Caenorhabditis elegans: one gene and its partner. The protein of the gene in region 2 purifies or fractionates together with the protein of the main gene of each other region. This does not show direct contact. Each region holds a gene or a part of one and is shown on either strand. Other genes may lie near its edges.

Region 1 (3,756 bases), on a different chromosome or scaffold from region 2:
ACTATTTGATAGGAAATTTCGGAATTACTCGTAATTAAATGGAGAATAGTCGGGATTTGATTTAGACGGCGATAAGGCTTCTTGGTGATTTCTTTTTCTCGACGTTCTTGGCACACTTGAATCGGTGTCGAATGAAACTAGTCTGTTCTTTTGTCGTTCATCATCTGATTTTGTCGTATAGTCTCCGAACGAAGGAAGCATACTTTTCTGATGTTTTTTAGATTCATCCGCGTTTTTGGGCAAATATGATGTTTCAAACTGAATTAATAAAACTTGAAATTCCATTTCAAAAATTTAATTCAACTTACAAAGTCTTCCTGGCTGTCCAGATTCAGAGGATCCTCATTGTGGAAGTTGGCTTCATCAAATCTAGGCTTTGATGCACTTGCTTTGATGGGAGCTTGTTTTTCCTCCGAGCCAATTTCCAAATAGTACGGGTCGCGTGCTTCTTCTATTTCCTGCTCGTACTCTTCGAAATCACTGAATATATGTACTATTATTGAGCTCTTTCTGAATAGAAGTTACCTCGACACAATATCATGTGAATAGAAAGGATCTTGTGGTAGATAGTCTATTTTATCATTGAATTCTTCACGATACAACAACCAATCAGACCTCTCGATTAAATAATCGAAAACTGGATTCTTCTGATACTCTTCAGATTTCTGAAAAAAAATACACACTATTTCCGTTAATGTCTCAGTGAGCACTGAATCCAACCGTCTTTGCTAGAGCAACTGCGACAAGAGCCTTTTCAACTGTTCCTATCGTGGTCCCGGTGTGATTTTGAAGTGGGATCGGACGAATTGAATCGATTCGGCGTAGACGTGAAGAAAATCGATTTATACTTTGGTCCAGCGTGGGAGAAACTTTTAATCTTTCTATTCTCATAGGCTTCATATTGCTTTCTGCATCTTGGGATCCCCACTTTTTCAGCCACGGAAGAACATGCTTCACTGAACGACCCACAGTCGAAGCTCCAATGGTTTCTTTTTTCGTTGTCTTAGTTTTCCCTTGTTGTTCTTCTTCTTCTTCAGAATTTAATCTCTTCATTGGAGGTAGTTGATTTCGAGTTTGTTGATCTTTCTTCACTCCAATATCGCTAAAATCCCAAGTTTTTGAAATATTGCTGCGTGGAAAATTTGAAAATTTTCTTATCGGAGTTGGGGATGCTGAACGCCCTCTTGATGTACTCAGATTATCGTCCGAATTCTGGAATACGCTGTGGTTGGTTAACTTTAATTTTCACTTTAACAATAACCTGAAATGAAACATTTGCAGAAGATGGGAGGGAACTTTTGGCATTGGCGAACATTCCAGCTTGAACATAGTGTCTCCGATGTCTCTGCAAACAACACATCACTGTTTTATTGCACAATTCCAATGATAAATTTTTTTGAACACGTGTTCTTTTCTTATTTAAAAAAAATGGAATGGGAAAAATTCATTACTTTTTAAAACTCACATCCTGTTCGCTCGATCTTTATGTTCCGACTAACATACTAACTACTAATGTTGTAAGTTTGATAAATAATTTGAAGATGTTACCTGGGGGAATCCATTGACATCTACAGCTACAGGGCGATTACCTGAACAATTTGTTGTTAGAAGTTGGCTTTTTGGAAAAGAGCTTACTTGGAACTATTCTCTTGAAGCTTGAGATTGTTGGATTTTTGTAAAATCTTCCTTTTCGAAATTTAATTACTTCTCGCTGTGGATGCATTATAAATTTAAAGAAAAAAGTTCAACAATAATGATTATTTATTATAATAAAAAACAATAAATGTTCCAAACTGAACATTTTTCAAAAACTACTGTAATCGTGGCGAGACCCCAAATTAACTGCGAAAGTATGCGCCTTTAAAACCGTATGGGAGAGAAACCGCGATATTTTTCTTTTTCACTCGCATTGATTTCATTTTTCGAGATTTGACGATTTTCTGGCTTTACGCATGCTTTTTCAGAATTTATAAGAATTAATAACCGCTAGATTATGTCACTAACAAACGTTTTTTAATATAAATTACACATTATTCACTTAAATTGTGTGTTTTTATGTCGAAAAACTGCCGTTTTAGGGAAGCATAATTTCCGGTTGCTCTCGGTTCTCCAGATCTTAATCTCATCATACAAGTAATGCAAATTCGCCCCAGCGGTGTTCTTTTTCGACCACAACTGGCGGCAATTTCGAACGTGCATGCCATTTTGACTAAACGTTGATTATTTATTTTTCCTACGGCTCTTACAAAGCTTGAATTTCCTCGAAAGAATTTTAATCTAGTTTTCAGCTCAATTTTCGTTTGAAAAATATAATTGTTTTTCAGTAGCTATCGATTCTCCACAATGAACAACAAAGGACGCACGCCCGGTAGTGCCGGAAGAACAGTCAGATCGTCCGCACAACAAAATGTACAGGAAGTTCAATTATTATATTGTTGGACATAAAGTTTCCAATTGCAGGGTCTGACAATGCGAAAAAGAGACATGACACCCACTCGCAACACAAACTTGCTACCCAACGCAACTTTCGTAGGTGATCGATTTCTTGGAGTCCGACTGGATCAGGATGAACTCGATCATGCTAATCATCTCATGACGAGTAAGCTCTACAGCAACGTATGTGGAAACAATTTATGAATAAAATTCTATATTGATGAAATTTACAGAAAGAGAATTTGAATAATTCCATGTCCGAGCCCAACAGTCCGGAGAAGAAAAGTGTGGAAGGAGAAGCTCTGAAACAAATGATGCGCCACAAATCCACTGGAGCTCTTACCGATGCTGATGATGGAGATCGCATTCTTTGCTATAAGAAAAATCTCGCTCCACCACCAGCAATTGGATATATTAATCAGGCAAAAGTAGCGATTATTACTTTAATTTAATTTAAAAATCGTTGGAAATTAGTAAAACTCTAATTTTAGGTATTGTATAGTACAAATAGTGTGATCAATCCAGCATCGTCAGTGAAAAAGTCGACGAGACATGTCAAAGAGACTGCGACGAAAGTCCTGGATGGACCTGGACTCACTAGTGAGTTAATATATGTGTTCTTTTTTCTCAAGTTTTCCATTAATTTCAGAAGACTTATATTCACGTCATCTTGATTGGGGATGTCACAATTGGGTTGCAGTCGCTTTAGGACACGAATTATACCTCTGGAACACTGAGACATGTGTCATCAAGGCAAGATTTTGATGGCCACTTTCAAAATATTGTTTTGTTTTTTTCCAGAATCTCTTTGAAGACAATGCTCCGACTAACGAAGGTCTGATCACCTCAGTACGATGGAGTCAGGAAGGTCGATATATTTCCCTAGGATACGCATCAGGAGCTGTCAAGGTACAATTGCTGTCAATATATTTGATCAAGTTTTCCTTTTTCAGATCTATGATCCAAATCGTCCGAAAACCACTGAGTATGTGCGTGAGTTGAGAACCCTTCGAGTCGGTGGAGCTTCACGATGTGGTCAGTTAAAATGAAAGACGGAGTGATGCTTCAACTTCATTATTTTTTCAGCTTCAATTGCATGGAGAAAGCAAGGAGTGATGACATGTGGTTATAAATCAGGAGACATTGTTAATCACGACGTCAGAATCTCTCAACATGTTGTTAGTTCGTGGGGAGGCGACAATGGTCATTGTCGTGACGTCACAGCTCTCGAATGGTCTGCAGATGAGAATATGTGCGTCAGTGGATCATCTGATAGAACTGCAAAGATTTGGGATGGCCGTCACGTCAGAGGAAGTACAGTTA
Region 2 (3,756 bases):
ATGTAAAACACATAGATGCCTTTTTAATCATTCACAAATGCCTCATCAAAATAAAGTTGGCACTTTATCGATGAAATCGCATTTTCACTTTCCATGGTATACGATTCAGAAAACTCACAGAGACAATTAGAATTTTCTGGGTTTTCTTCCAACACATTGTCATTATCAGGCTTTCGAAAAAATTCTACAGAGCTATACTTTTTTTTTATTTACTTAAAAACTTTCTTTAACTGGAGAAGTCTGAAGAATTAATTACTAAGTTCTTTGAACATTGCTGTAGCAAAACAAAGAAAAAGTCCTACAGGGGTTCTAGAACATTCCAGAATTTTCCCCAATTTTTCAGTTCTTGAAACTTCCAGAAGGTACTAAAACAAAAATAGTTTCACAGAAAACTTGAATTTCCCTCAAAACAATGTTCTCATAAATTTTGAATTTCCCGCCCAAATTTTTAAGGGTCTCACCACAATGGGTCTCAGGTCTCACCACAATGGGTCTCAGCAAGGTCTCACCACAACAATTCCAGAATTTTCACGAATTTTTCAGAAGGTTCTAGAAAATTCAAGAATTTTTTTTCGAATTTTCCAGAAGGTTCTAGAACATTCCAGAATTTTCTCGAATATTCCAGAAGGTTCTAGAACATTCCAGAATTTTCTCGAATATTCCAGAAGGTTCTAGAACATTCCAGAATTTTCTCGAATATTCCAGAAGGTTCTAGAACATTCCAGAATTTTCTCGAATTTTTTAGAAGCTTCTAGAACATTCCAGAATTTTCTCGAATTTTTCAGGGGCTTCTAGAACATTCCAGAATTTTTTCGAATTTTCCAGAAGGTTCTAGAACATTCCAGAATTTTCTCGAACTTTCCAGAAGGTTCTAGAACATTCCAGAATTTTCTCGAATTTTTCAAAAGGTTCTAGAGCTTTCCAGAATTTTCCAGAAGGTTCTGGAACATTCCAAAATTTTCCCGAAGTTTCCAATTTCCCTTCCAAAGACGGATAGTCAATTTTTCCCAAACTACAATAATCCTACAGTACTCCTACAGTACCTCTCCAGTACTACTACAGCACCCCGACCATATCCCACTACTAACCCCAAACCTATATCTCTTCAAAAGACAAAAGCTCAATTTTTCCTAAACTACAGTAATCCTACAGTACTCCTACAGTACCTCTACAGTACTACTACAGTACCCCGGCCATATCCCACTACTAACCCCAAACTAATATCCCTCCAACAGCCGAAAACGCCTTGCCTTTGTAAGCTATGACGTCACAGACTACAAACTACGGCACAAACGGAATTATTTTTTTTATATATAGGTTTTATATATAGGATTTTTAATACGAGCATTTGGCTTCCCAAGCTTTCATAATCGCGACGAGGCCTAATTGTTGATTTATCGGGGTATGTTTTCTCATCAAATTCTTTGTACCGCGCATGTATGAAACATTTGAACAGGTGTGTCCTTGTGATCTTCATGGGATGTAATTTCGGTAGTGGTTTGATCCAAAAGCTCAATTCAAAATGGAAACCATGGAAATGAATATTTTAACGCTAACAATTTAACTCTGAGATGCACTTTTTCAGAACAACAGCACACTTTAAAAGTTATGCGATCGATTGAAAAATTGATTAAAATTGATTAATCAATTTAATTGGTGATTTTAAAACTTCGAGTACTGTAGCCAAAAGTGGTTGCGTACTTGACACATTTGACGCGCAAATGCACAGAGACTCCATTTTGGGATTTTCAGATCGTTTTTTTTAAAGTTTACTCGTTTCTCTTCGTTTTTTGTTCGTCAATTTATTTTTTTGTATAAGAAAAATATAAAAATACTAGTTTTAAGTAATTATATGGAAAAATCCCAAAAAATGGATTTTTCAGACTTGAAATTTGTTCAAAAAATTGACCTACCAAACAAACAAACATAAAAAACATTTAGCGCTAAATATTCAATTTTCGTTGAGAATTCTTTGTTTTCCATGTTCACATTCACTTCTTCCAAATTTTCCTCGCGTTTTCCATTAATAAAATTATATTTTTACAGATAAAATCTTAAAATGAGCGAAGCTCCTCACTCTTCCAGCATGGCGGATAGCAATTCCACAGTAGAACAATATCGTTCGTTGAAACGGTGAGTAATTGAAAATTAGATTCTAAAAATCATGATTTTCCAGGAAAATGATCGAGAAAAAGGATCTGATGAGAAACAATCGAACAGCACTTCGCGCATGTATCCTGTTCAATTGTCTCCTCGGAACTTCAATACGAGACGCTTATAATCAATTTTGCCGAGCCGTTGGATCCGATGTTATGGAATATCGAGAATACGAGTTCTGGTTCTATCAATTTAAAAGAGGAGATGCTGATTTCAGCGATGCAATTAGGTATTTTCAGAGACTTCAAAGAAATCAATAATTTCATTTTTAAAAAATTGATTTTCAGTTGGAATCCAAACACAATAAAGCTTGATGAATTGCCAATCGAAGTGATTAATACGATTTCCAGCTTCTCTATGCCAATGGAGAGGTTTGTTAGCCAGTTTTATTCAAATTTAAAATGAAAATTTTCAGACTAACGCTTCGAAAAGTGTCTAAAAACCTGCGCACACTCATCGATTCTGAGCCGTTTTGTTTCCAAAGGATTATAGTACGAATTGGACATCGAACATCGTATCTTCAATTGGACGGTTATCCGGGAATTGAATATATTCATTGTGGTGCCGATTGCAATGTTTTATATGGAAAACGTGATAAATATGTTAAAAACAAGAATCACGTTGAATATGCTCTGACGGAAGCCATTCAATTGATGAGAAATTCAAATAATCACAGCAAAGAGTTCCACGTGAGAGCAGAACGATCAAACGATCAGGAATTGTCAATGGTTCTCAGGAAATTTTTCGATTCTGTGGAAATTGAGCTTTATGCGAAGAAAATTGTCGTCAGTGGATTCAGTTTTGCCGATACATCTTCGGTTCTTTGCCATTTCAAAGCGGGATTTCTCGAGGAAATTCAGGTGTTACCGGGTTCCGGTGGCCCGTGGACCAACGTACTCGTCGAAATGGAACAATACAAGAAGGCAAAAGTATTGAAGATTTGCACGGAATTTCCAGTTTTACTGGATATCGAGGATTTGCTGCATTTCCGACGGTTCGAAATTGCGATAAAATCAGATTTCACTGAAAGAATGGCCAGAAAAATTCGCGATGTAAGTTTCCATTTTAATTTTCGTAAGTTTTAAATTTAATTTAATTTATTTTCCAGGTTCTCACCAATTCTGAACATTTCGAATATGCCCACATAATAACTCAAGATCTTCACCATCGGACAGTCATTAAATTCTTCAATCGAAATGCTGAAAATGTATTCTGGAATTATGGATCCATGAATTATAATAACAAGAAGCGCCTCTTCCACATTGAGTACAATCACCGACAATTTGTAATCAAAAAATTAAACATGTAGATAATCAAACAAAAATTGCCTTCTTCTCGAAAATGTATGTACTGATATTTGATTTGCACACTTACCCCTTGTTTTACTCTTTTTACTCTGAGATTTTTCTTGCAATAAACCTTTGTTCAGGTTAAAAATAAAGCACATTATCACGAAAAAAAAACTGTCAAAGAATAACTGAATTCACAAAAAAGTTTCGGTTCTTGCAAATTTTCAAATTCAGTTTTAAATTGTTCCATTGTCATACACTTTAGCAGACCTGCTCATATTTAACATTATACAGAAAATGGAGATAAATT

Evidence for each region.
Region 1: the proteins of fbxa-215 (region 2) and F12A10.8 fractionate together in Caenorhabditis elegans (co-fractionation; one large-scale study listed by BioGRID). This does not show direct contact.

The regions. Positions count from the first base shown.
Region 1 is NC_003280.10:5,499,309-5,503,064, forward strand, and holds the start of F12A10.8 (uncharacterized protein), read right to left. Parts: upstream 1,757-3,756; 5' UTR 1,724-1,756; coding exon 1,636-1,723; intron 1,590-1,635; coding exon 1,549-1,589; intron 1,346-1,548; coding exon 1,262-1,345; intron 1,213-1,261; coding exon 721-1,212; intron 666-720; coding exon 526-665; intron 481-525; coding exon 309-480; intron 259-308; coding exon 29-258; intron 1-28. Other genes in the region: WD repeat-containing protein fzy-1, read left to right, coding at 2,344-2,409, 2,461-2,616, 2,667-2,861, 2,925-3,033, 3,083-3,186, 3,235-3,342, 3,387-3,468, 3,520-3,756.
Region 2 is NC_003282.8:13,665,200-13,668,955, reverse strand, and holds fbxa-215 (F-box domain-containing protein), read left to right. Parts: upstream 1-2,046; 5' UTR 2,047-2,059; coding exon 2,060-2,133; intron 2,134-2,176; coding exon 2,177-2,386; intron 2,387-2,444; coding exon 2,445-2,528; intron 2,529-2,572; coding exon 2,573-3,209; intron 3,210-3,265; coding exon 3,266-3,466; 3' UTR 3,467-3,592; downstream 3,593-3,756.